Callithrix jacchus: one gene and its partners. The protein of the gene in region 2 binds, or shares a complex with, the protein of the main gene of each other region. Links are inferred from orthologs where the notes say so. Each region holds a gene or a part of one and is shown on either strand. Other genes may lie near its edges. The genes, in order: DRC10, DRC5, DRC4, DRC9, DRC1, FBXL13 and DRC8.

What was found.
Region 1: DRC5 (region 2) and DRC10 share a complex: the UniProt entries of both Homo sapiens proteins name them as parts of the nexin-dynein regulatory complex. The link is inferred for Callithrix jacchus from reciprocal best matches to the Homo sapiens genes DRC5 and DRC10.
Region 3: DRC5 (region 2) and DRC4 share a complex: the UniProt entries of both Homo sapiens proteins name them as parts of the nexin-dynein regulatory complex. The link is inferred for Callithrix jacchus from reciprocal best matches to the Homo sapiens genes DRC5 and DRC4.
Region 4: DRC5 (region 2) and DRC9 share a complex: the UniProt entries of both Homo sapiens proteins name them as parts of the nexin-dynein regulatory complex. The link is inferred for Callithrix jacchus from reciprocal best matches to the Homo sapiens genes DRC5 and DRC9.
Region 5: DRC5 (region 2) and DRC1 share a complex: the UniProt entries of both Homo sapiens proteins name them as parts of the nexin-dynein regulatory complex. The link is inferred for Callithrix jacchus from reciprocal best matches to the Homo sapiens genes DRC5 and DRC1.
Region 6: DRC5 (region 2) and FBXL13 share a complex: the UniProt entries of both Homo sapiens proteins name them as parts of the nexin-dynein regulatory complex. The link is inferred for Callithrix jacchus from reciprocal best matches to the Homo sapiens genes DRC5 and FBXL13.
Region 7: DRC5 (region 2) and DRC8 share a complex: the UniProt entries of both Homo sapiens proteins name them as parts of the nexin-dynein regulatory complex. The link is inferred for Callithrix jacchus from reciprocal best matches to the Homo sapiens genes DRC5 and DRC8.

The regions. Positions count from the first base shown.
Region 1 is NC_133510.1:116,197,111-116,201,359, reverse strand, and holds the start of DRC10 (dynein regulatory complex protein 10), read left to right. Parts: upstream 1-1,380; 5' UTR 1,381-1,421; intron 1,422-1,754; exon of another isoform or gene 1,755-1,778; intron 1,779-4,099; exon of another isoform or gene 4,100-4,238; intron 4,239-4,249. UniProt on the Homo sapiens protein: Component of the nexin-dynein regulatory complex (N-DRC), a key regulator of ciliary/flagellar motility which maintains the alignment and integrity of the distal axoneme and regulates microtubule sliding in motile axonemes.
Region 2 is NC_133505.1:52,749,846-52,753,514, forward strand, and holds part of DRC5 (dynein regulatory complex subunit 5), read right to left. Parts: intron 3,582-3,669; 5' UTR 3,489-3,581; coding exon 3,212-3,488; intron 1,900-3,211; coding exon 1,331-1,899; intron 1-1,330. UniProt on the Homo sapiens protein: Component of the nexin-dynein regulatory complex (N-DRC) a key regulator of ciliary/flagellar motility which maintains the alignment and integrity of the distal axoneme and regulates microtubule sliding in motile axonemes.
Region 3 is NC_133521.1:47,675,336-47,679,004, reverse strand, and holds part of DRC4 (dynein regulatory complex subunit 4), read right to left. Parts: intron 783-3,669; coding exon 573-782; intron 1-572. UniProt on the Homo sapiens protein: Component of the nexin-dynein regulatory complex (N-DRC), a key regulator of ciliary/flagellar motility which maintains the alignment and integrity of the distal axoneme and regulates microtubule sliding in motile axonemes.
Region 4 is NC_133518.1:81,458,468-81,462,136, forward strand, and holds part of DRC9 (dynein regulatory complex protein 9), read right to left. Parts: intron 1,641-3,669; coding exon 1,512-1,640; intron 1-1,511. UniProt on the Homo sapiens protein: Component of the nexin-dynein regulatory complex (N-DRC), a key regulator of ciliary/flagellar motility which maintains the alignment and integrity of the distal axoneme and regulates microtubule sliding in motile axonemes.
Region 5 is NC_133515.1:88,561,266-88,564,934, forward strand, and holds part of DRC1 (dynein regulatory complex protein 1), read right to left. Parts: intron 1,241-3,669; coding exon 1,101-1,240; intron 1-1,100. UniProt on the Homo sapiens protein: Component of the nexin-dynein regulatory complex (N-DRC) a key regulator of ciliary/flagellar motility which maintains the alignment and integrity of the distal axoneme and regulates microtubule sliding in motile axonemes.
Region 6 is NC_133512.1:73,437,687-73,441,913, forward strand, and holds the start of FBXL13 (F-box and leucine-rich repeat protein 13), read right to left. Parts: upstream 2,834-4,227; 5' UTR 2,538-2,833; coding exon 2,463-2,537; intron 1-2,462. Other genes in the region: ARMC10 (armadillo repeat-containing protein 10), read left to right, coding at 3,031-3,169, 4,079-4,227. UniProt on the Homo sapiens protein: Substrate-recognition component of the SCF (SKP1-CUL1-F-box protein)-type E3 ubiquitin ligase complex.
Region 7 is NC_133520.1:41,227,962-41,232,375, reverse strand, and holds the start of DRC8 (dynein regulatory complex protein 8), read left to right. Parts: upstream 1-1,445; 5' UTR 1,446-1,446; coding exon of another isoform or gene 1,447-1,524; coding exon 1,525-1,549; coding exon of another isoform or gene 1,550-1,628; intron 1,629-1,629; coding exon of another isoform or gene 1,630-1,644; exon of another isoform or gene 1,645-1,735; intron 1,736-4,414. UniProt on the Homo sapiens protein: Component of the nexin-dynein regulatory complex (N-DRC), a key regulator of ciliary/flagellar motility which maintains the alignment and integrity of the distal axoneme and regulates microtubule sliding in motile axonemes.

The DNA of each region.
Region 1 (4,249 bases), on a different chromosome or scaffold from region 2:
AGAATTACGTGGCTCAAAATGTCAACTGAGCTGCTGTTGAAAAATCCTATCTCAGCCTGTATTCCCACTTTACAAATGAGGAAATTGAAGCTTGGAGTGATTAACTTGCCTCTTTTAAGTTTCAATACAGGCAGTCCGAATTCAGGAACTCTCCCTGCTTAACCATTACTCTATATACACCTACGACTAGAACCAGTCCCCCGATTTTTGAATTCAAACACATCATTTTTCCAGGGAGACTAAAATGAGGCCCAGAGAGGGGAAGAGACTTGCCCAAGGTCACACAGTGCAGAAGCAGGGCTAGAACCCGGGACTCCTGAGTCCCGGTCCAGTGTTCCCTTCGCGGGCTTTGCTTCCGGCTCTAGAGAGAACCCAAATGGCCAACCCTGGGGAAAGGGCCCAGGGGAAGAGAGGGCCAGCTGCCATCCCGCTGTCCGCTGGGGCAGCTGACCCGGGCACTAGACTCCTGCGGGGTCACCTGAGGGCGCCAGGGAGAAGGGCGAGGGAGGGAGGAAGGAGGAGGCAGGAGCGCCGGCTCCAGCTCCACGTGCTCCCACACCCTGGCTGGACGCCCACGTGAGGGTCGTCCCAAGAAGTTCGGGGCGAAGAAAGTGGGTGCAAAGCCCCCGCCCGGGCTGGACGGAGAGAAGAGCGCCGAAGCCTTCCCCGCGGCCCCTCCGGGCCCTTCCAGCCCACCTCCCACACCAGAGTGCCGCTCCACAACCCCTTACTCCGAGCCCTCTGACCCCTGGTCCCTGCCCTCTCCCTCGGGCCAAGCCCTCGCATCCCTCGGATTCTTACACGCGCCGCCCCAGCAACCCGAACCATGCGCCGGGGTCCGCACCGCGCAGCCCAGCCCTCCGGCGCCGCCGCCAAAACCCCGAGCCCGAAGCTGTTGCAGCAGCCGCAGCTGCACCTACTTCAGCCACTGCCACCACGGCAGCTGCGCCAGCTCTCCCATCCGCCGCCTACCGTCCTCTCAACCCCGCTGGCTCCGCCCCTTTCCCCTTGACAGCGACCTACTGGCTAACTGGGATACCATGATGAGTTCTGATTGGTCATATCTCACGTCCTTCCGCAGGTCTCGCCCGCTGCCGATGCAGTACTCCCTGCCCGCCTCCTTAAGAAGGGGCGGGACGAATAATCCACGCCCCTTTCTCCTCCCATCTGCCCCGCCTTACTCTTTGAGGGCAACCCAGAGGGAGTCCCCAGTCTTTCCATTGGTGAAAGGTCAAAATGATGGTGCTTCTGATTGGTCAGGCTTCAGGAGGTGGGGACAACTGAGCGGAACAAGGAATTGAGTGGTGAAAAGAAAGGTCAGTCAGACGCCAAGTCCCGCCTTCTGAGATTGGCAAGTAACCTAGCAACGCAGGGACCGCTGCGATAACTGTGGCTAGGGAAACCTGGAGCCTTCAGTGCAGGTGAGTAACCAGGTAGGGAAGGGTCGCGGATCGGGGGAGATGTGGAATGGGCTTCAGCTCGCTGCCCTTTGGCTCCCTGAGGAATCAGTGGCCCTCGCTGCGATCCCGTCTCAGCTTCAGGACCCTGTTCCTCGGCCCCAGCCTAAGTCTAAACCTCTCACTCCACAGCCTGCAGGGAGCCGGCCTCCATTCTGCCCTTTCTTCCAGCCCACTTCAAGGCCCCACTCCCCCATCCCTAAAACGAGGAGGACACCAGTCCAGCAGAGTCACATCGTAGTTAACTTATTTCAAATCAAACAAGTTGGAGGGAAGTTTCTAAGTCCCCTGCCATTCCACCCAACGGCCATACGTTCCTCGGTGAGCATGCATCTCAATTCAGTGTTTAAATCAGGTTTTGTGTTGTTTTTGGCGGAGCGCGGTGGCTCACGCCTGTAATTCCAGCACTTTGTGAGGCTGAGGCGGGCGGATCCCTTGAGGTCAGGAGCTCGAGACCAGCCTGGCCAATATGGTGAAACCCCATCTCTACTGAAAATCCAAAAATTAGCTGGGCGTGGTGGCACACCTGTAATCCTAGTTACACGGGAGGCTGAGGCACGAGAATCGCTTAAACCCGGGAGACCAAGGTTGCAGTGAGCCGAGATCGTGCCATCGCACTCCAGCCTGGGCGACAGAGCGGGACTCCGTCTCATAAATAAATAAATATATAAAGTAATTTTTATTATACCACTTTTACCTTTTGTCCTAACTTTGTAATTTAACTCCCCATTCTGGTCCTTAAGATGTGATCTCAGCCCGGCGTGGTGGCTCACGCCTGTAATCCCAGCACTTTGGGAGGTCCAGGTGGGCGGATCATGAGGTCAGGAGATCGATACCATTCCGGCCAACATGGTGACACCCCGTCTCTACTAAAAATAAGAAAATTAGCTGGGCATGCTGGCAGGCCCCTGTAATCCCAGATACTTAAGGGGCTGAGGCAGGAAAATCACTTGAACTTGGGAGGTGGAGGTTGTGGTGAGCCAAGATCACACCACTAACACTCCAGTCTGGAAGAGAGTGAGACCCTGTCTCAAAAATAAATAAACTAACATATAACCTAGCAATTCCACTCAGGAATGTGTTGAGAAATGCTGACTGTATGATAAATATATTGTTTGCTAAGAAGAATGATGGCAAGGAAAACCTAGCCGTGCCCCCCCCCCAAGTGGAAAACTACTTGGGGCACTCTAAAGTAGCAAGACAGTATTTGTATATCATACACCACTTAAAATAAATCTTTAAGCGCGAGAGAGGTGACCCTGCCCCTGTGGCTCCCTCGTAGAGGATGCTTTCTGGTTTGTCTGTGATCAGTGGTGAGCAGGCACCAGGTGCCTACCTACTTTATTTTTGTTCTATGAGAAAACACAGAACACCTGTTTGTTAATAATAATCACCTATTCAGAGAGAATAACTATGTGAGTCAGAATCTGCTTGAGGCCCTCAGCCTGGAATGCTGTCAGCACCTGAGGTTCTCAGCTCTGAAAGCTGTTGGTCCCAGGATAGTCCCACTTTGCTGTTCTTTCTGGGTGTCTGCTTCTTAATGCCTTTAGCACTGCCTGGGTGGGGGTCTGTATGGCCACGCTGGTCTCTGTAGGAATGTACCCCCACCAAGTGAAAACATATGTTCCCAGAAAGACTCAAATATAAATGTTCTTAGCAACATCACCCTTAGTAGCCCCAAACTGGAAACAAACCAAATGTCATCAACAGGTGAATGGATAAACAACTTGTGTTATTTCCATAGAATGGAATATTATTCAGCAATAAAATACCATTCAGGAACAAAATACTAATTATTGCTGTAACCTGGATGAACCTGAAAACATGTTAAGTTAAGGGTTTTTGGCCCAGTGGCTCACGTCTGTAATCCCAACAATTTGGGAGGCCAAGGCAAGAGGATTGTTTGAGCCTAGGAGTTTGAGATCAGCCTGACAACAAAGTGAGACCCCCTCTTTACAAAAAATACAAATATTAACTGGATGTGGTAGCATGTGCCTGTAGTCTCAACTATTCAGGAGGCTGAGGTGGGCAGATCACCTGAGCCCAGGGAGGTCAAGGCTGCAGTGAACCATGATTGCACCACTGCACTCCAGCCTGGGTGACAGAGTAAGACCCTATCTTTGGAAAAAGCAAAAGTCAAGATTTTTCAACCTTAGCTCTGTTGACATTTTGAGCACAATAATTCTTTGTTGCGGGGGACTATCCTGCCAATTGTAAGATGTTTAGCAATAACACGAACCTCTACCCACAAGATGCCAGTAGTAGCCTCTCTCAGTTGTAATAAGCAAGTGCATTTCCTGATTATTGCCAAAAGTCTTCTGGGGGCAAAGTGGCCCCAGGTTGAAAACCACTGTGCTAAGCAAAAAGTTAGATGCCAACGATTACGTCCTGCATGATCCCATTTCTGTGAACTATCCAGGAAAGTTAAATGTGAGTAGAGGCCAGGGTCCGTGGCTCATGCCTATAATCCCAGTATTTTGGGAGGCCAAGGCAGGTGGATCACTTGAGCCCAGCAATTTGAGACCAGTCTGGGCAACATGGTGAAATCCCGTCTCTTCTAAAAACACAAAAATTAGCAAATCCTGTCTCTCCTAAAAACACAAAAATTAGCCAGGCATGGTGGTACACCCCTGTGATTCCAGCTACTCAGGAGACTGAGGTATGAGAATTCCTTGAACCTCACAGCAGAGGTTACGGTGAGCCTAGATCGCGCCACTGCACGCCAGCGTGGGTGACAGAGTGAGACTGAATCTCAAAAACAGAACAACTACAACAAAAAATGTGAGTGGAAA
Region 2 (3,669 bases):
TTGCCCAGCAAGGCTGATCACTGACTGCCTCTCTGTTTTCGTCCCACCCTCCTCACTCACACTCTGCTCCAGCCACACGTCTTCTCTTTCAGTCCCTAGAGCTGGCCATGTTCACTCTGCCCATAGAGCCTTAGGCACTGCTCCCTCTGCCTGGAGTGATCCTCCCTCTTAGACTATAACTCTTATTCCTCCTTCTAATCTCTATGTAAGACATTTGTTCAGGGACCTCTTCCCTTGCAAGGTCAAACGCTCCTTTATAGTCTCTCATAAGACTATCACTTCTGGCCAGGTGCGGTGGCTCACACCTGTAATCTCAGCACTTTTGGGAGGCTGAGGCAGGCGAATCACAAGGTCAGGAGTTTGAGACCAGCCTGGCCAACACAGTGTAACCCTGTCTCTACTAAAAATACAAAAGTTATCTGGGTGTGGTGGCGGGCGCCTGTAATCCTAGCAACTTGGGAGGCTGAGGCATGAGAATAGTTTGAATGAGGCGGAGCTTGCAGTAAGCTAAGATAGTGCCATTGCACTCCAGTCTGGGCAACAGTGCGAGACTATGTCTCAAAAGAAAAAAAACAAAAAAGTATCTCTTCTTTATAGCATTTATACCAATTCAGGGGTACCAGAAAAAAAATACATGATTCCCAGTTAAATATAAATTTTAGATAAATAACAATGCCCCATGGAATATTCAGAACATACTTATACTAAAAATTATTTTTTGTTTATCTGAAATTAAAAAACTTTTTGGAGACAGGGTCTCATTTTGTAACCCAGGCTTGAGTGCCATGGTGTGATTGAAGCTCACTGCAGGCTTGAACTCCTAGGCTCAAGGGGTTCTCCCACCTCAGCCTCCTCAGTTGCTGGGAGACTACAGAGTGAGCCACTATGCCTGGACCTGAAATTCACATTTAACTGGATGTCCTGTATTTCTCTTTGCTAAATATGGCAACCCTATTCTAGTTTCAATTTTATGTTTATATGACTGTTGATTAGTGCCTTTATCCCATCAGACTGTTAGCTACAGAGGGAACAAACGATCTTGCTCATCGTTTTATTTTCAGCACCTAGGACAGGGCCTGGAGAGCAGATGTTTGCTAAATGAAACAAACTGGTGAACTGGGAGGGCAGCGCCTTGTTCATTTTTGCACACCCAGAACCGTGTAGCTTGGCGCAGGGACCATTAAAAACCACTTGGCCAATGAAAGAGAAGGAAATGGGAAAATGGTAATAACGGAGGAGGAAGATGAGGGGAGAAGGAGTCTGAGAGATGGGGAGAGGAAATCTGAGAGATGCTGAAAGGGATGGGGTGAAGGCTGGGGGCAGACAGTACCTTGAGGGTGTGGCATGCCTTGATGGTGGCTGCTAAGGAGTGACAGTCGTGGTAGGTGAAGAGGAAGAGATTCCACTCGAAGTTCATGCCGCAGTCCTTGACACCGTACACCAGGTCCAGCTCCTCCAGGTGGCTCAGGCCAGCTACCAGATCGCCCAGTTGGTAGTGGTCCAGGGCGGGCTCTTCCATTTCTCCCTCGCTGCCGGAGTCCGACTGGTCCCCGGTCTGGGGCTGGGCCAGGAGCCGCACCGGCGGAAGGAACTGATCGACGTGGACCCTGCGCACATAATTCCTGCAGAGTGGCAGCAGGTCGAGGATCACTGCGGGGTCCGTGGTGCCTGGGATAAAGTGCTTTAGCAGGTTCTCCAGGTGCCGCTCAAAGAACATGCGTTTCCAGCTGCCGCCATGCTCGGCCACGTGGCACACGGGCCAGCGCTGCATGCAGCAGCGGAGCCAGTAGTTCTCATCGTCTATCAGGTTGGCGGTCACAGCTAGTGGTAGGTCAGGGGACAGGTGGTTCAGGACTTTCTGCTGGTGCTCCGGGAGCAGCTGCTTCAGGATAGGGTTTCCTATGGGAACAGAGGAAGGAAAGCAGGAGGTCACAGTGTTGGGGGACACCTCACCATGATGCTTCAGGCTAGGCCTGGCTCAGGGCACTGGGCAAAGGGAAGACCCTTTCCTCTGCTCTCAGGGAGGCTCTATTGGACGGGGAGACCTAGCCTTTAGCTTTGGGATGTTCCCTACATGAAGGTGGACATCTCATCATCTGTTCTCAGGTAGCTCCGGGACTGAGGCAGACTCTCAGGTTCAACTCTCAATTATCACCTGGTCTGATGGGGGATACAATCTCTGAGGTCAGAGGCTTCCAATCTGATTTGATTCATCGATTTCAAAACAAGAAATTTTTTGAGCACCTACTATGTGCTAGACACTGAAGGTACCACTATGAGAGACTACTATGTCCCACATGCTGGAGATATAAAAGCAAGCAAAGGCCGGGTGCGGTGGCTCAAGCCTGTAATCCCAGCACTTTGGGAGGCCGAGGCGGGTGGATCACGAGGTCAAGAGATCAAGACCATCCTGGTCAACATGGTGAAACCCCATCTCTACTGAAAATGCAAAAAATTAGCTGGGCACGGTGGCGCGTGCCTGTAATCCCAGCTACTCAGGAGGCTGAGGCAGGAGAATTGCCTGAACCCAGGAGGCAGAGGTTGCGGTGAGCCAAGATCGCCCCATTGCACTCCAGCCTGGGTAACAAGAGCGAAACTCCGTCTCAAAAAAAAAAAAAAAAAAAAAAGCAAGCAAAACAGAGCTCATCCCTTTTGGAGTTTAAATTCTAGTGAGGGGAGGCTGACAACAAACAAGTAAAATGAATGAGACTGGGTGACAATAGTTACTGTAGATGAAATGATCGTCCTGTCCTCAGAGAGCTCCTCATCTGGTAGGAGAGGCTGGCAACCCATCTTTGGAAAGGATCTATATTACAGAGCACAAAATATAGAACAAACCAAGAGCCTTTACATGGCATGGAAGACTCCATCAGAGTGGGGGGCGGTTCACTTGGGAGGGCTTTCTGGAGAAGGAAGTAGATGTGGCTCAGACTGGGTTTTGCTGGAGAGAGTGGAAAAGGCAAGGAGAGAACAGAGGCATGGCGGGTCCAGTGTGGGTGGGAGGCTGGTGGGACCTGCCAGTGGGAACAGCAGGAGAAGCTGTCTTGGCCCTGGGGTGGAAGGGAAGTGTTGAGGGGGTATGAGGATGTCATGTGGGAGAGCAGGGGCTGCCCTGGGACCCAGCTTCTGCAGTCTTGGCTCCAGACAGTCCCTACCCACCTTGCCCCACTCCTGGCCTTCTTCTTCCCACCCAAAACAGGGACAGACTCACTCTGGAAGTTCTTGATGATGTGCTGAATGCAGAGCTCTGTGAGGAGGGGCACGATGGTCAGAGACCACTCAGGATCCTCAGCAATGATCCGGCGCATCCGATGGAAATTGGCCCCAGAATTTGGGTTCCTGGACTTTGCAGGCACTGGTGTGATTGAAGAAAGCTTTGAGGGCTGTGGGCCTGTGCTTGAAGTGTGGCCTCCAGTGGAGGACTTGTCCTGGGTGGAGACTGAGGAGTGGCTGGGGTCCAACAATGCTGATGTTACATTATCCTGCATGCTGGGGGCTGGCAACGTAGGGGCAGGTGGCCCCTGGATGCCCTTATGACAAGAAGCTTCTCAGACTGGCAGACCCTTGATACAGGCAGGGATCTGGAGAAAAAGGAAGAGGGTGGAGGTGTTACTTTGGAGGGTCTTGGTGGGCATTTACTAAGAGAGGTGGTGTAGAATAGTGCTTAAG
Region 3 (3,669 bases), on a different chromosome or scaffold from region 2:
GGGTGAGGGTCCCCAGGCTCCCATGACCCTGCACTGCCCATGTCCTAACCCAGCCCATCTCAGGGCATCCCGGCACCCTCTCTGCCCCAGGATGGGGGTGGTGGCTGAGCTGAGAGCTCAGGAGATACAACCATTCTCCAGGCCTGTGTCTGTCACCTGGGCCTTGCTGTCACCAACGGAGGCGCTCAGGCCCACAGAGACTCCACGTGGCTTTTCCACTCCCACACCCATTGTCAGGCTGCACTGAGATGACTAGAGCCTTAGATGCCTGGATGAGCCAGGCCTGAGAACTGGAGTGAGCAGAGACCCAGAGGTTAGCAGGCACCATGAGGTCACACAGGGTCCGGGGAAGATCAAGAGACTTCAGCAGAACTGATGAGAGGAGACCACCAGCTAAGACAGCGAGAGACAGCCATGCCACTCTGTTCTCGGGCAACAGGAAGCCCATGAATGCCCCCGTCCAGTGGTTGACCGAGGGGTCTGTGCCCATCCGAGGAGGCACAGCACGGAACGGAAGGGTCCTGCCATAGGGAAGAGGCTGCCCACTGGGGCGGCCTACCTCAAGGGCCTACCTCGAGCTTGCGGGACACCAGCGTCAGGGATGCAGGGTCCAGGTTGGAGGCCGCCAGCACCTCGTTGAACTGCACCTCCTTCTTCTCCACAGCAGCGCTGAGCGCCTGCAGCTTGCGCTCTAGCACCAGGTTCTTAAAGCCGGTCTTCTGCTGCACCTCCTGGATAGCAGCAGTGAACTTCTGGTAGAGCTCATCCCGCTCCTGCTGCACCTGCAGGGACAGTGCTGGGTGGGCTGTGAGGCCCCTCCCCTGGGGACATCTCACTGGGGAGAAGCTGCCTCCCACCCAAACACGGCGCTTCTTTCTCTGGGAGGTGGCTTTCCAACAGTGCCCACCCCCATAGCACCGAGCGGTTGTTATCCACACTGCCCACATGCTGGCCCTCTGCACAGCTGTCCACACAGCATAAGCCTTCTCAGGAAGGTGTCTCTAGAAGCCATGAGTCCCGGTAAGAGCTAGAGCAGCCCCACCCTGAAAGCCACTCCATGGGTGGCTCCGAGCGAGGGCTGTGGGTTCATCGAGGACGTGGGATCCCAGGCATCCAGCAGGCAGAGCTGCGGGTGGGCCCGTGGAGGATGCGCTCTCTCGGATCCCACGTGCAGCCTGGCCCACAAATGGAGGACCTGAAGAACAGCCTTGGAGCCAGCCGCCTGCCAGCCAGTAAAACCATTCTTTTTCACCTAATTTTTCTACGAATTATGCACTCTAAACAAATCTAGACTTTGTCGAAGATTATAAAAAAGTGAACAGCCTGAGCTCGACACGGTGGCTCACGCCCGTCATCCCAGCACTTTGGGAGGCTGAGGTGGGTGGATCGCCTGAGGTCAGGAGTTCAAGACCACCCTGGACAACATCGTGAAACTCTCTCTACTAAAAACACAAAAATTAGCGGGGTGTGGTCATAGGTGCCTGTAATCCCAGCTACTAGGCAGGCTGAGGCTGGCGGAATGCTTGAACCCTGGAGGCAGAGGTTGCAGCAAACTGACATTGCACTACTGCACTGCAGCCTGGGCAACAAGAGCAAAACTCCAGCTCAAAAAAGTGAACCCCTTAACCCCAGTTCCCAGAGGCCACCATTATGAACACGTGGTGTGACCCCTTCTAGAATGTTCTCTATGCATTTAGAGATTTCGCTGAGAGCGAAACCGCTTCCTATTTGCAGCCTGAAACACTGTGAGATTAAAAAGCAAGCTGTGCTTATGCCTGATCCTGTGTTTGTAATCCACAGTCACATGCACACTAGAGCATCCGGGAAACCAGGAAGGGAGCTCATAAAGCTCGCCAGTGTGAAGACCAGTGCTGAGCAGCTAGAGACTCATTTTTTTTTTTTTTTAGATGGGGTTTCACTATGATGGCCAGGCTGGTCTTGAACTCCTGACCTCAGGTGATCCACCCACCTTGGCCTCCCAAAGTGCTAGGATTGGAAGTGTTTGGAAGAAAAAAGGACCATGCTAAAACACCGCAGCTTTCTCCAAAGCCACAACCTGTGATACCTGCAGCACCTCCAGGACAGCACCTGGCCCTGCACTCCTTCTAACTGGTGTCAGAATTCCCCAGATTTGCGGAAATCCAGTTCCTTGTCCATATGCATTAGACTGTAAGTGTCTTTGGTCTCTACATTTTGCTGACAAATTTGAGCTCTCGGTTCTCTAGGAAGAGGCACTGACTTTGATAACTTCAGGAACTACATCCAAATAGAAGAAAATCTGGCAGAGAACAAGGCTCCAACCCAGGCACGTCTCTGCTCTCCTCTTCCTAATAAGGAGGGAGTGTCCAGGGACAGAGACAAGACCCAGCATTTACTCAAAACCCACAGCGGGGAGGAAGGGTCCCTGTGTAACACAGCAGTCCTCTGGGTCTCACCGGCTGCCTTGCAGATGCCCTTCCCCTGAGCTGTGCAAACAGGGCTGCACCCGGGAGCTGGCACAGCCCAGCAGTGCAAGTCCTGCAGGACCCGAGGCATCTCTGAAGGTGGGTCTAGATGTGACAGACAGACGGGATGTTCCTGAGGGGCCAACCCCACTACAACTGTCTGTGCTCATAAATGTCAATCAAGTTGGAGGACAGAAACAGCACCCATCACTGCTGCTTAAGGTAAGGTGCTCCAGCCACGCAAACCACAGACAAAGCCTGAGGGGCCCATGGTGCTGGACCGGTCCTTGGCCAGAACTTTGAAACTGCGCAGAGGCAGGGAGTGTCCAGGGACAGAGACAAGACCCAGCATTTACTACTCACTGGAAATCTCAGAAGCGCACGCTAAATGAGTTGTTTCCCACCCAATCACATGTGCACAGGTTTAAACCTGTTGAGGAAGGATGGAAATGGCCCCTCCAGCACCCTGGCAGGAGTGTGACTCAGAACGGCCCTCTGGACAGACGATCACAATCCTCAACACGGACCCCTCAGACCTGACAATCCCACTGCTAGGCACCGGCTTTCCTAAGACGCAATCTTACACAGGGGCACAAAGACACATTTATTGAGGCAGCCATGCTTACAACAGCAGAGGATCAGAAACAGGGGAGTCAGCTACATGAGCAATCGGAGCGCCATGTGGCTGAGAGCGAAACCGCTTCCTATTTGCAGCCTGAAACACTGTGAGATTAAAAAGCAAGCTGTGCTTATGCCTGATCCTGTGTTCGTAATCCACAGTCACATGCACACTAGAGCATCCGGGAAACCAGGAAGGGAGCTCACAAAGCTCGCCAGTGTGAAGACCAGTGCTGAGCAGCTAGAGACTCATTTTTTTTTTTTTTTTTAGATGGGGTTTCACCATGATGGCCAGGCTGGTCTTGAACTCCTGACCTCAGGTGATCCACCCACCTTGGCCTCCCAAAGTGCTAGGATTACAGGCATGAGCCACGGCACCCGGCCTGGAGACTCATTTTAACTTACACTTAAGACCCCAGGACTTCTTTACAATGAGAAAGTAATAGGTTAGTACTTAGAAACATACACACATGGAAGAAAGACATGCTGAAGGCGCCAGGCCTCCTTCATGTGCTCAGAGGGGAGCTCTTAAGAAAACAAAAGTCATGTGTGATCCTCTCCCCATGAGACCCCAGGCCTCCTGCAGGACACGCAGGTGAGTCATGTG
Region 4 (3,669 bases), on a different chromosome or scaffold from region 2:
CTAAAAATAGGGGGATCTGCTGGGCGTGGTGGCTCAAGCCTATAATCCCAGCACTTTGGGAGGCTGAGGCGGGTGGATCATCAGGTCAAGAGATCGAGACCATCCTGGTCAACATGGTGAAACCCCATCTCTATTAAAAATACAAAAAATCAGCTGGGCATGGTGGTGTGTGCCTGTAATCTCAGCTACTCAGGAGGCTGAGGCAGGAGAATTGCCTGAACCCAGGAGGCGGACGTTGCGGTGAGCCGAGATTGTGCCATTGCACTCCAGCCTGGGTAACAAGAGCGAAACTCCGTCTCAAAAATAAAATAAAATAAATTAGCCAGACATGGTGACACACATCTGTGGTTCTAGCTACTTGGGAGGCTGAGGCAGGAGAATCACTTGAGCCTGGGAGGTTGAGGCTGCACTTTAGCCTGGGCAGCAGAGCAAGTCCCAGTCTTAGAAAAATAAGAAGAAGAAAGAAAGAGTTGCAAGACAAAGTTAAGGAAATCTCTCTAAGAGCAGAATAAAAACAATGCTGATGGTAAATGAGCAAAAAAGGACGAGAAAAATGCAGGATCAATCATTACTGGATGAACATCTAAAGGGAGTTTCAGGCCGGGCGTGGTGGCTCACGCCTGTCATCCCAACACTTTGGGAGGCCGATGTGGGTGGATCACTTGAGGCCAGGAGTTCGAGACCAGCCTTGCCAACATGGTGAAACCCCATCTCTATTAAAAATACAAAAATTAGCTAGGTGTGGTGGCGCATGCCTGTAGTTCCAGCTACTTGGGAGGCTGAGGCAGGAGAATCGCTTGAACTGGGAGGCAGAGGTTGCAGTGAACTGAGATCAGGCCATTGTGCTCCAACTTGAGTGACAGCAAGATTCTGTCTCAAAAAAAAAAAAAAATGGAGTTTCGGAAAGAATTCCTAAGTTGAAAGGTCCTGGAAAAGAAAAACTTTCCTTGTCATTCATTTGTTATTGTTCAGTGATTTTCAATGAATTCAATCTTAAGAAAGACTAACAGAGAAGGAAGAATAGTCTTGATGTATTGTAAATACAGATAATGAAGGCCCAGCAATCTGAATTATTGTCCCAGCAGAACTAGGAAGAAAACCCAAATTCTGACTTCTAGTTATCTTCCCTGGAAAGCAAATGGTTGGTTTGCTTTAGAATCAAGGATTTCCAGTACGAGTGTTACAGCACTTTAAAATGCAGCAAAGCAAATAACCCTAACGGTATTCTTACCTGGCAATGATACCACAGAAATACGGTATTCTCACCTGGCAATGACACCACAGAAATACGGTATTCTCACCTGGCAATGACACCACAGAAATACGGTATTCTCACCTGGCAATGACACCACAGAAATACGGTATTCTCAACTGGCAATGACACCATAGAAATGCGGTATTCTCAACTGGCAATGACACCATAGAAATGCGGTATTCTCAACTGGCAATGACATCATAGAAATACGGTATTCTCACCTGGCAATGACACCATAGAAATACGGTATTCTCACCTGGCAATGACATCACAGAAATGCGTTTTCTTCCCCCTCTCTTTGCTCAAAGCTTGCAGGAGATTGTTGAAAGTGCCCGAATCTTCCAACTCCTTAATGGTATCTGCAATCACATCACTGAAAAACTGCCTGAGAGGAGAAACAAAACAAAAAAAAGATGAGTTAATACATTAAATTTTCAAGCCAGGTGCAGCGGCATGTGCCTTAATCCCAGCTACTTGGGAGGCGGAGGTGGAAGAACTGCTTGAGCCCAGGAGTTTGAGATCAGCTGGGACAACATAGCAAGACCTGGTTTCAAAACAAACAAAATATGTATGTATATGTATATATATTTCCCTATATTCACAAAGGGCTACAGACGTCACACAAGTTAAGACCCAGGCCAGGCGTGGTGGCTCATGCCTGTAATATCAGCACTTGGGAGGCCAAGGCAGACAGATCACTTGAGGTTAGACGTTTGAAACCAGCTTGTATTTTGTATTTCCACGGGGAAATACAAAAATTAGCCAGGTGCAGTAGTGCGTGCCTGGAATCCCAGCTGCTCAGCAGGCTGAGGCGGGAGAAGTGCTTGACTCTAGGAGGCGGAGGTTGCAGTGAGCTGAGATTGCACCACTGCAATCCAGCCTGGGCAACAGAGCAAGACTCTGTCTCAAAAAAAGAAAAAAAAAAGTTTGATTAGGTCTTTAAAAAATTTTTTTTAAATGATTTAACTTTTTTCAAAATTATGAAGTATTTCAAAAATTTAGAAAGTATAATGAATATTTCTGCATATAACACAAAATTTAAATATTTTACCATGGTAGAGACTTGGTTTTTCAGACATATGTCAAATATATTTGAAGTCTCTAATCCCAGTCCCTCAACCTTCCCCAAAGACAACCACTCTTCTGAATCCGGTGATGATTATTCTCTGGCATGTTGTGATACTTTCATTATGTGTTTGTGCATTTTATTTAAATAATACATGTAGTTTCACTTTTTTTTTTGAGACAGAGACTCACTCTATTAGCCAGGTTTATGGTGGTGCTAAGAGGTTTTTGCTGTTGGTTTTTAAATGATGAATGTATGTGGAATTTTGCCAAATGCCTTTTCTGCATCGCTTGATCTTTCTTTTTATTTCTTCTTTTTTTTTTTTACATTTTCCAAAGCTAAACTATTTTTGTCTTCCTGGGATAATTCCAATTTCATTATGATTTTTGAGATGGAGTGTCGCTGTGTTGCCCAGGCTGGAGTGCAGTGGTGTGATCTTGGCTCACTGCAACTGCTGCCTTCCAGGTTCAAGCGATTCTCCTGCCTCAGTCTCTTGAGTAGCTGAGATTACAGGCACACACCACCACACCTGGCTAATTTTTGTATTTTTAGTAGAGTCAGGGTTTCACCATGTTGGCTGGGCTGATCTTGAACTCCTGACCTCATGAGGAGGCACCACTACACTCTAGGATGGGCGACAGAGTAAGACTCTGTCTGCAAAGAAGGAAAAAAATAAATGAAAGGGAACTTTGTGATTTTTAAAAATTATTAATTAATGTATTTATTTATTTAGAGATAGAGTCTCACTTTCCAGGCTCAGGTGATTCTCACATCTCAGCCTCCAGAGTAGCTGAGACCATAGGCACGCACCATCATGCCCAGATAATTTTTTTTATTTTTAGTAGAGATGAGATTTCACTGTTGCCCAGGCTGGTTTCAAACTTCTGGGCTCAAGCAATTCTTCCACCTTGGCCTCCCAAAGTGGTAGAATCTCAGGTGTGAGCCACCACCTCCAATCTATTGTCATTTTTATGTCTTTAATATTGTGATTTCCACTTTGATTCTGGATAACTGTGGAAGATGTACATTTCATGAGTATACCCTGGGTTTTTTTTTTTGAGACGGAGTCTCACACTGTCACCCAGGCTGTATTGCAGTGAAGTGATCTTGGCTCACTGAAATCTCCGCCTCCTTGGTTCACTGCCTCAGCCTCCCAAGTAGCTGGGACTACAGGCGTGCACCACTGCGCCCAGCTACTTTTTTTGTATTTTTAGTAGAGACGGGGTTTCACCATGTTGGCCAGGATGGTCTCGATCTCCTGATCCTGTGATCCGCCTGCCTTGGCCTCCCAAAGTGCTGGGATTACAGGTGTCAGCCACTGCACTCGGCCACGCTGGGTTTCATATGG
Region 5 (3,669 bases), on a different chromosome or scaffold from region 2:
TAGGGGGATGTTTTTTCATAAATATCGTCCCCTGACTATTCTTGTTTCTCAGATAATCAGGCTTAAGATGACATACCATTTACTCAGTATCATTTTCTGTGATAAGTCACTATCAAAAGGTCAACTGGTGTTCCTCTATACATTCAATATGTGTCCAAAATGTATTATTATCAACCTACAAGTGGAAGAATTCATAAATAATAATAGGCTATTCGGGGTTTGGAGAAAAACCTTCAATCTTGTCTGCTACTAATAAGAAGTCTTCTTCCACTCTGGTCCTCAGAGCCTAGCGCAGTGGTCTGGAACTTAGAATGCAATTCTTAAAGGAAGAAAGGCAGGAAGGATGGAAGTAAGGAGACAAGGAGGAAGGACAGGACATGTGAGACGTTTCAAGCAATAGGGACCTTTCAATGAGCCACGGTGTCTGCACAAAAGCAAATTGGTGCATTGTCATGAGTATTTAGGTTGGTATTATTTGTAAGAGAAAAAGGCGGGAAGCAATCTATGTGTCCATCATTAGAGACTGGTCAAATAAATCATAGTGCATCTATGCAGTGGGTAGTAAGCAGCTTAAGAAACCGTGAAAGCAGCTGGGCGCGGTGGCTCATGCCTGTAATCCCAACACTTTGGAAGGCCAAGGCGGGTGGATCACCTGAGGTCAGGAATTCAAGACTAGCCTGACCAACATGGTGAAACCCTGTCTCTATTAAAAAAAAAAAACGCAAAAGTTCTCTACGAACTGAGAAGGGGAGGTCTTCAATATATACAGCAATGTGTACGGACCACCATCATTGTGTAAAAGCAGATGGGGGATGAAAGTATGTGTGTGTGCTTGTGTGTGCCTAATGAAATTCTGGAAGAAACAATGTTACAGAGGTGGGAAAGAGGAACAAGACGATGGGGACGGAAGACCTTTGCTATGTACTCTTTTCTTGGGGAGAAACCACTTGAATGTATTAACTTTTCCCAAAAAAACGATTTAATTAAGTGTTGGTTATATTTTTACTGGTTTCTACCCCTTCAATAGAGAAAAACACATACCCATCCCTATTCTCAGCACAGAAGGGCCCAGAAGAAAGACGCTCTGCATGCTAGCATACCGATTGATCTTCCTCTTCTGCTGGGATTTAATCACCGTGCTTTCCTCATCTCTCTTCTTCAGCACCTGCAGGTTGTACTCCAATTTCTCTTGGTTTAGCTGATAAACTGCTTTCCTCTGCTGAAGATGCTGCTCAAGAATCTAAAGTTAAAAAGATTATGTGTGTGTGAATACACACACACACACACACATACTAACTCTACACCTGTATCCTTAGTATTACATACACTCATGTATTTAAAATGTCTTTTGGGGAACATGCTTCGTATAGGTAAATATTTACATAGACATCCTTATATAATCCTGTTTGTGTATGTTTATTTACCTAGCTATGTATATCCATATTCAGATGTATTATTCATCTTTGTACCTATACTCAGAAATAACAAAGATGTACAAGGTAAAGGTATTGGCAGAAATTTATACTGAAAGTAATATAAAAAGAAACTTCCCTACATTTATAAACTTATCTGCCCTGTGAATTATATCTAGAATTGTACACAAATAAAGGTATGCTCTGAAATACTATATATATATATATACACAGACTAATTGGCCCTAGCTTGTGGGCCTCTGATAAATTGTTCAAGTCATGTTAGAGGAACCTTAGGGATAAGTGCCTCAGCATGCCTTGTAAACAAAGTCTATCATGAGACTCAAGTTAAAGGCCAAGATAAAATACAAGTCAACAAACTGTAAGCTCAAATCTGTGTACCTAAGTCTAAGAAAGATCACAGAGATTTCAAGTCCAGCTAACTCTGGAAACTTTCACCAGACCCTTTAGAGATATGAGCAGCCCCTCTAAAAAACACCATAGAAATAAATATAGCCACAAAAACTTGAAGTTTCCCCACTTTGACCTTCCAGAGTGGAAGCGTTACTGTTTAACAACCCAGGTCCACTTAAAAGGACAGACACAGTCATGCTTACTTTTTGGACTTCCATTAGCTGTATTCATTCATTCAGCAAATATTTATCATGTGCCTAATCTGCATCAGATACTTTTCCAGGTGCCATTGGGAAAACACTAATGATAAGAAGCAAGAGAGAGGGAAGCCCAGTTATGGGACCAATGAGAAGAGTACAGTCCTTGGTCTTGAGAAACAGGGAAGGCATCCCTGGAAAGATGGCCTGTCTAGCCGAGGCCCAGATAATGTGCTGGAGTTACGCAGGTGACACCTGAAGGGAGAGGGCTCTAGAGAGAGGAAACAGCATATAAGAGGCGAGAGAGAGGGGGGCTGTTTTGGGAAAACCACAAGAAGTTCAGGATGTGAGACATGAGGCAAGAAATGGTCAGAAATGAGGCTGACTCCATTTCCGAGCAGCAGACCCCTCCCCAAGGCCAGGAATGTAAAGCATTTTCCTGACGCCAATGGAGGCCTACTAACAATGTTAAGCAGGGAAGGAAAATGGTTGGTCCAGTCACTGCAGAAAATCTGTGAAAAAAAAAGATCAGAGAGAGGCAAGGCTGGAGGTTGGCATGCTCCTGCCTCTCCTGAGTGAAATGCAGGAATGGGAAGGCAATTTAGTGGAGTCAGAAACTCAATAAAGCTACCATGTGCATGCGCTCTCCAGCCTCCGTCCCGTCTCCCTCTGCTAGGCTACACATCTTGCCTAGGAATCAACAGAGGAAGTGATTCCAAGTGGCTATCACAACCCGCTCTGGGTCATACTCGAGGAGGGCTCCTGGCAAGGAGGCGACACTTCATTGGGTCAGGAAGCACGTCATTTCCATGTGTGCTGTGAAATCCAGTGATCCCCACGTTGTAACGGGGAATTAGTCAAGGATATTCTACATCACCATGGCAGAGATTTTTCAACCTCCATTACGAGATGAATATTTGAATGTCTCCTGCAGAACAGAAGCATGTAGTATCTTTTAACAGATGGTAAATGAATCCTATTGGTCCCTGAGATCTAACTAATCTACCTCTCAATTTCTCTACTTGCTTTTTATTTACTTTTTCTAGTTAGACATTTTTCTTTGTAAAAACTGTTCCTGAGCACAAAAGCAGTATTTGCTCATTGTAGAAAATGTGGAAAGTACAGCAAATGAAAAAGAAGACACAGAAGAAAGGCTGCTTGATGACTGATATCTGCACCCCCGAAGATGATGTCAGTTAATATCAGCATGCTTCCCTCCAGTGTCCTTTACACAGCTGCAATCAGACTATGTCTACAATTTCATATCCTACTTTTCTCCCTCAATATTGCAGCAACAATTCTCCATGTTAGTAAAGTTTTATTAACATCATTTTAATGGTACACAATACTTTTGTTTTGTTTTAGATAGAGTCTTGCTCTGTCACCCAGGCTGGAGTGAAGTGGCATCATCTCAGCTCACTGAAACCTCCACTTCCCAGGTTCAAGTGATTCTCCTGCCTCAGCCTCTCAAATAGCTGGGATTATAGACACCCACCACCAAGCCTGGCTAATTTTCATATTTTGAGTAGAGACAGAGTTTCACCATGTTGGTCGGGTTGGTCTCAAACTCCTGACCTCAGATGATCCACCTGCCTCGACCTCCTAAAGTGCTGTGATTATGGGCTAGAATACTTTTATATAGTATG
Region 6 (4,227 bases), on a different chromosome or scaffold from region 2:
GGTCTTGAACTGCTTACCTCAGGTGATCCACCTGCTTTGGCCTCCTATGGATTTTTTTTTTTTTTTTTTTTTTTGGTCTACTCTTTCACTGTGGGTGTAATGGAATAGTCAGTAACGAAAGTACTAGGAAATGTAGGACTATGTTAGTGAGAGCCCATTTGACAACTGAGGATTGACATACTGAGGGAGTCAGAGAGACAGCTGGAAGGAGGCTCTTTTAAACAACCAGCTCTTGGGTGAACTAATAGAGCAAGAGCTCACTCATTATCACAGCGGAGGGCACAAAGCCATTCTGGAGGCACCTGCCCCAAAGACTCAAATACCTACTGCTGGGCCCCACCTCCAACACTGGGGATCAAATTTCAACAGATTTGGAGGGAACAAATAAAACAGAAAAAGGCAAAATGAATGAAAAGATGCATAATTCTAATAATCAGAATTTATTTTAAAAATCAAATGGTCATTCTAAAACTAAAAAACATGTCTGAAGTTAAGATTTCATTTGATATACTTAAGAGTAGACTGGACACAACATAAAACAAAATTAGTAAACTTAAAGTACAACATGAAACTCACTGTAATAAATTAAAACAATACAGCTATGGATAGAGTAAAAACTTAGAATTCTCCATCTCCTCCCCTAAAACCATTCCACAAGACAAGGCATGAATTGTCTTACAGATATACACATATATATGTACACATAAACATATATACAACATATATTAAATAATCGGACAGCTAGAACAGAATGGATAGTTGCTAAGCAACTTGCACTTTTTCTTTTTTACTTAATAATAAGTGTTAGGAGCCAGGTATGCCTAGGTGGGAAGATCACTTGAGCCCAGGAGTTCTAGGCTGCAGTGAGCAAGGATGGAGCCACTGCACTCTAGCCTGGGTGACAGACCAACACCCTGTGTCTCAATAATAATGATGATGATAATAATAATAAATCTTGGAGGGCATTTTCTTCTTAGTATTTACAGATATACTTTGATATACTTTATTCTACATAATATCTCATTCCCTTAGTCACTGTTAGGTCATTTACTATTTTTACTATGAAACAAAGTTATGATGAATATCCTTGTACATCCTTCTGAACACATGTGCAAGTATTTCTCTAAAGTAGATTCCCAAAAGTGGAAATGCTTGGTTAAAGGGTACATGTATTTAACATTTTTTTTTTTTTTGAGACGGAGTTTCGCTCTTGTTACCCAGGCTCGAGTGCAATGGCGCGATCTCGGTTCACCACAACCTCCGCCTCCTGGGTTCAAACAATTCTCCTGCCTCAGCCTCCCAAGTAGCTGGGACTATAGACAGGCACGCTCCACCATGCCCAGCTAATTTTTGTATTTTTAGTAGAGACAGGGTTTCACCTTGTTGACCAGGATGGTCTCGATCTCTTGACCTCGTGATACACCCGCCTCGGCCTCCCAAAGTTCTGAGATTATAGGCGTGAGCCACCACGTCTGGCCGAACATTTTAATATATATTTCTCTGGTACCATCCAAAAAGGGAAACGAGGGTGGGGAGGGGGAAGGGAGGAAGTCTACCAAATTGCCCCCAGAAACCGCCAAGGAGATTAGTTACTAACCTGGACTCTCCTCTTTCCTGCCCTAAACATCTCTCTCCCTCATTCTCCTCATAATGTATCTTTGCTCAAACCTCCTACTGCACCAATAGCCCCATCCCCACTCAAACACGCACATTCTTGGCCAATATCTCACCAACTATTTGTAGTAGGGAAAAAAAAGGTCAGCAAAGGCAAACTTTCTCAGCCTTCTATCCCCAAAACCTACAACACCTAGTAACTATCCCCTTCCTGTCTTCCTTCCCTTCTAATATAATGGGAGTGGGGAGCAAGTCCTTCCTCCTGTCTAAAGGCAATCCTGGTTGAGAGGGTCCTTACTTCACAAAGGGCTGGCTCCACTGACCAAAGTTCTCAGCTTCCACCCTCTCCTCAGCTAACCTCTAACTAGTTTCTGTCCTCACAGCTCCCCAAGGCTTACGCTGGGCAGAATTCAGGTCCTTATCTTAGGTGACTAGTGCTGACTCCCTACTTCTGACAACTCTTTTCATAATGCCACTCTACTGATTTTCCTCCCCACACTCTCTGGCACTTCTTTCTCACTCCTCCTCCAGTCCTCAGGCACTTCTTGTCCAAACCTTAAAAACTGAGTTTGCGTTTTCCGTCCTGGGCCTTGTGTTCTTTCCCCTGAGAGATGTCAACCACTGCCCACGTGCAGCTACCACCACCCTCTGTCTTCTCTCTCATCTGCATCCTCAGCCAGAGCGCCCACAAGTCCCAATTTGACTTCACTTTCTGGCATTCCGCCCCGCCTTCCCTCCACTCCTCCCCTAACCCGCTAATTTAGTCCCTCCTTCGGGAAGTCTTCCCTGACTCCTCCCCCTTTTAACTACCCACGTTGGTCCGAGTCTGCGCCACGCGTGTCCATTACCTCGCAGACCTGAGGAATGTAGTTCTCCTTGAAGTAGTTCTTCAGCCTCGGGTTGGCATTGCGTAGCGAGGCCATGGTCCGAGGCCTGACGGAGAAGCTGCGCTCATCCCCTCCCCGCGCGGGAACTAGGGGGCCTGGCGCGAAGGACGTTGTCCTGACAACCACGGGGCGGGGCGGAGTCGCCCCGCGCTCCACAGCCCTATGCGGGAGGGAGGGAGGCTCGCTTTACGCCCCGGGAGAAGCGACGCGTAAGCCGGCTTAGGGTTGCCGGCGGCGCCGACGTCTCCGCGTGGGGCGCGTGGTCCCAGCTGCTCCTCCCGGCGTCCAGCGCACCACCCGCCTCACCTGGTGAAAGCCTCCGGGATGCGCCCGGCCCTAGTGGGCGGTTATAGGTTTTGAGCTGGGCGGTTTCCGGGAGGCGGAGCTCAGACCCCCATTTCCTTTCTCCACAACCTAGTAGCTCTCCGGCTGCTGTGGCGGCGAGGCCCGCCTGTTCTGAAGATATCTGCGCTGGCCCAGACTAGCCTCCTGCTCGGGCCTGGCCCTGCGGCTCTGCCGCGGCGGCAGCATGGGTGGCGCCCGGGGCGTGGGCTGGGTGGCGGCGGGCCTACTCCTCGGCGCCGGCGCATGCTACTGCATTTACAGGCTGACGCGCCGTCGGCGGCGGGGCGACCGCGGGCTCGTTCTGCGCCCCTCGCAGTCCGCAGGTGAGACCGCCGGGTGCTGGAACTGGGCTGAAGGGCTCCCCAGGCCCGAGTGGTGGCTTGTGTGTCCTTGAGGTAAAATGAGGAGCCGAGCTAGAGGGAGAGGCGATACTTGCGTGGGTGCAGGGTGCTGCGTCGCCCCGCTGCGCCTTTGTTCGCTATACCGGCATGAAAACTTGTCCATGCTTCTTTGTTCACTATACTGACATGAAAACTTGTCCGAGCTTTCCGGCCCGAGCGCCGCGTCACAGTGGAGGATTAGGTTTCTTAAAAGCCTGTTGATGGCCTCTCTTCAAAGCGTGCTCCGGGCCTTTGTGTAACTAAAGGGATTCTCCAGATTGTGGAAAGGCTGTTGAGGGGCCGGGAGCGGTAAGTGAAGCTCTGCTTTCAGGTTCCCTGGAAGAAGGGACGCCAGAGGGACAGTTGTGCGGGCGCTCGGCCCGGCCTTAGAGGGGAGGTCCCTGGGAGTCACAGTGGTCCAAGACCTCGAAGCCTGATGTGTGTTTTGGAAATGGGAACAGTTGTCTGCGCGAGACACACCCTCCTAGGGGACAAATGCGTGATTCGGTTTCTGTCCAAAAGTTGAATGGTACGTTAAAACTCTCAGAAAGGATATTTCACATCATGGAAGCTGTTAGGGAAATAATTTAAAGTATCACATCTGCCATCCAAGAAACTCCTGTCCACAACTGCAGAAGAAAACTAAACAGCTTCATTGTTAAATAAGCACAAACTAGATTGCCTCACCATCTCGGGCAATTTGCTAATGGGCACCTGGTTCCACATCATAAAGATATTTTTACTTTTGCCCTGGATGAAGGCAATTAGCTAACACAACTAGAGAGAGAGCCTGTCTCAAAAATAATCTCATACTGATTTTATATAACTTCAAATAACTTTCTTCTTATGCAGAAGACTTAACTGATGGTTCGTATGACGATGTCCTGAATGCTGAACAACTTCAGAAACTCCTTTACCTACTTGAGTCAACTGAGGATCCTATAATTATTGAAAAAGCTTTGATTACTTTGGGTAACAATGCAGCCTTTTCAGTTAACCAA
Region 7 (4,414 bases), on a different chromosome or scaffold from region 2:
GAGAGAGGGAGTCTTTAAACACAAATATTTAGATCATATCAACTATGAGATTTAGATAAAGGAATGCTAATAATTACTTTTCATTATTTTTGGTGTGTTAAACATTTTTTGTACAAGACTGTATTCAACCATCTTCTAACAAAAGCCATTTTGTAATGATTCAGTTGTTTATATTCAATTTCTAACACGAGCCATTTTGCAATGATTCAGTTGTTTATATTCAGTTTCAACTCAATTCAATATTGAATTCATATTCTGTTCAAGTTATTCAATTTCAATTTGGTGCTGATCCAATGGGTATCTTCTACAGAAAAAGTACGTTAACAAAGAAAAATATAGTCAGTTTTAGGATTTGAGAGATTATAGAACCAGAATACAAGCATTCAAATTGTTCAGTCATTAAATACGAGTACCTTGTATTTTGAAGGCCTCTTTAAAGGTACAGTTAATAGTTTATAAATTGCTTTTACATAACATATGCACTGAAATACCCTTTAAGATTAGTTTTGAAAACAGGTATTCATTCGAACCACATCATTCGGTATTTTCTTCAAAGCTCTTTATAAAAGAAAAACGTTCTAGTAAACTTATCCTGAAAATAAGACAAAAATTTAACCTCATGCTATAGCTGCAAAGTTTCCTGAAAGCAGAATTTAAAACTTCCATTATAAGTTTAACCAGCGGTCCTGTTCAATTTCACCTGAGAACGTTTTACCGCATGTAATACTGAGCATAACACGGGCACGTTTTTGTTGCTATGAGAACCTTCTATTTTGATTAGAAATTGCAGCCTTGACGACGCAATGTTTGCGCCTATTTTGCGCATGTTTTTCTACAGCTATTTCTCTCCTCTAGTAATAGCAATCGAATGGCTCTGGCTTCCTCTTCCTCGGCCCAGTTTTTCCGTTTGAGCTTCAGCCGTCCTAGGCTGCGCTGTGGCTTTCTCCGGGAAAGGGCGGTGAGGACTGGCCGGGGGAAACCGGGAGGCAGGAGCGGCGTTTCTGCAGCAGCCGGGCCGCGGGCTGGTTCTGTCCCCGCCGTGGGAGCCCAGCTCTTCACCTACTCTCTGGCTGCTTTTCAAAATCTGCAGTTAACAACAGAAACCGAGCCACGCCACGTCGCACCAACAGGACCGGAGGGGGAGAGGGGTGTGTGTGCGCGCGCGTGCGGCCCCCAAAAGGATGAGAAATAAGGGACAGGAGGGGCTGGGGGCCGTGTGACTCAGGGACACTGCTAGGCCTCGGGTCCGCAGGGACAAGGCTGGGGGCCGGGTGGCGCGACGCGCGGGTGCCGCTGGCAGACGGCGCTTCTGGTCTTCCCGCTGCGCGAGGGTCGCGGCGGGAAGCCGGGACCGGGCGCGCGCTCCGAGCCTCCTCCCCGCCCCGGGCGCCCCGCCCCAGGGTCTTCCTCCCCCGCGATTCGGGGCGGCCCCTCCTCCCGGCCAGGTTGGCCGCGGGGCGCTAAGCCGGCCGGGACCCCGCGGCTGAGGTTGTCGTTAGGCATCTCCCAGGCGACCGTAGCAAGATGGCGGACGAGACGGACAGGGAAGGTAAGGCCGGGGAGCCGGGGAGCCGTTGCCCTCACCGCCCGCCGCGACCCCGGGCTGCTGGGCGCAGCGCCGGGTGGGGGTGGGCCCTCGTCCATCTGGAGTCCCCACCCGCAGGGACCGGGTGGCCTGAGGAGGGGCCCACCCAGCAGGGGCAGCCGCGCGGCCCCGTCTCCGCCGCTCCGCCCCGCCTCCTCCCTCCCCAGTCCCCCTTCTCTCCCCTCCCCCCTCCCCCCCTCTTCCCTCCTCCCTCCTCCCCCCTCCCTCCTCCTCCCGCCGCGTCCTTCTTCCCCTCCCTCGGAGGCCGGGCCTGGGCTCCGGCGCGGGCTGCAGCGGAGGCGCCGCCACGGGGCTGCTGATAATGGTGTCGTTGTTCAGTGCCGCGGGGAAGCAGCAGCCGCCTCCGCACCCTCCTGGGCTCTCGGTGCCGCAGGCGCCACGCCCTTAGCTGTCCAGGCTGTGGGCCCCGGGGGCGGCCGGGTGAGGACGCGTTCTGGCCGCCAGAATTTGGCGCGATCCTGTTGGCGCCGAAAACCCGCCCTGGCGCAGCCTGATGGCGTTCGCCGCCACCATTTTGCCTTCTTAATGAGGACGCGGGAGGACGGTCTGGAGGTCACAGCCGCTGCCTCCGAGCTTCTCCTGCCTCGGAAATGCCTGCCTTGCGGCCGGCCGGCGCCGAGCAACCGGCCTGGACTCTTAAAAAAAAAAAAAAAAACACACACAACAAAGACATACACCCAAACGGCAATGTTAATAAAGACGAAACACCAAAACCCCGCCGAGACCGCGGAGCCGCTGTACGCCGGGGGCGGGGGGGCCTCTCCCGCGGTCCCCGGGGACCCCCGGCCCCGCGCGGTGGCCGCCTGCAGAGGCGCTGTGCGCTTCGAGGCGTAAGGTCGCCAGATCAAGAGGCGTCAATGTGTTGCCTGCGCCGAGACGCCAAAAAGGGATGACGTTTCTTGGCCAGACCGTTCATGTTGTTTTCAATTCGTGGTATAATTTATGATGTGATCAAAACCCGATCCTCGGTTACCAAGACCTTAGGTTCTCAAGAATAATTGCGTTTGGTAGTTGGCAAAGTCACCAAGACAAAACAATGTCCCAAAACCCGTGAAACTGAACAACTACGAAGTGAAAATACATTCCCCCTTTGCTTGCCTTCTCGCATCCTCACAACGCCCTCTCGTGCCGTTTTTCTCCGCATGGAACCGAGTGTGGTCAGGTTCACAGCTAATAAACGAGCCCTGAGCTATTTAGTCACTTGTTAAGGTGATCACAGAAAATAGGCGGCGACATGAAACTGCCAGCGTCTGCCTATTGATAGCAAGAATCCTGTGATTTTATATGATATGAATCTGAGAAGCCGGGATTATTTTATAGGTATTACCGTGATGAAGATGCCCTTACATACACAGAAAAGGTTACTTTTAAGATTTCCCCAGAAAAATGAATAAATTATTTTTGTTCCTTATTAAAAAAAAAAAAAAAAAGGAAAACCATTAAGAGAGAGACTAGAAAAGTAATTATGGATATTTGTTTTCTTTTTTTTGACTTTTGGGGCCAAGTAGCCAGATACTTGTTTTCTTAAAAAACACTTGGTTAGGTCAGCATGAGACACAAACAGGAATATGGTACTAATACAGTATTTATCGTTTTTAAAAAATAGATTGAGAGCTTTCCTGGTTTTTCAACTTTTGAACAATATTTTTCTATTTAAGAAAAATTCAGAGATGCAATTCTGTCAACTCACAGAAGAAGTAATGACTATTAAAAGCTGGATGCCATTCATTCAGAATCCGTATATTTAATAACTTCATGTAGATAAGGCATTCTGCTTAGAACTCTGAAAGATACAAAAATGAAAAAGACATTGTCTTAGCTCCCAAGAAAGCTGAGCTCAGTAAGGGAGCTGAGATGCATACGAATGGGAGGGAATAGTTAACTGCGCTGCGTGGACTCCGTGCCAGCCACTGTGTTAGGTGTGTGTCTTTGTAGTCTGCGGACAGCAGCCTGGGCATTACTGGCTGCCCCCCACCAGTGAATCAGAGTCTTCATTTTAACGTATCTGTAGGTGATTTGTATGTACATTAAAGTTTGGGAAGTACTCATATGGCATATCTCATTTATGGTTTACAGTTTTATGAATTAACTAATTGCAGTTTGAAGGGTATGATGAACTAAAGGCATTTTGTCAGAGGATAAAATAAGTAAAGACTCACTTTGTTGATAAGACTTTTTATGGAAATAGTCCATTACTATATTTGATTTTCAGCTACTCTATTTTGAATTTTCATAAATTACATCTAGCCAATTAATCCGAATTAAGTTTTGAGGATTCACTCAGCTAAACTCATAAAAGACTGATGTGCAAACCTGAATGATTTATTAGTTTAAATAGTGGTATATACATTGACCTGAAGGCTGATTTTGGTAATGTAACATACTGTTTTATGGGTACTAAGCTTTGGGTAGTGTGAATTTATATTTCAGAAGTCATTTGATGACCATGGAATCACACAAAAGAGAGGATAATTTTGAAGGATATGTTCATTACCCTGTAAGTTCCAAAAGGTCAGCGACCATTTCTGATCTGTTAATGTTGAATATTGTGCAGAGTGCTTGGCACATGGTAGGTAATCAATACATATTTGTTGAATTCAGAACATTTGAATTAATCAAAGACAGCTTTTTTTTTTTTTTTTTGAGACGGAGTTTCGCTCTTGTTACCTAGGCCGGAGTGCAATGGCGCGATCTCGGCTCACCACAACCTCCGCCTCCTGGGTTCAGGCAATTCTCCTGCCTCAGCCTCCTGAGTAGCTGGGATTACAGGCACGCGCCACTGTGCCCAGCTAATTTTTTGTATTTTTA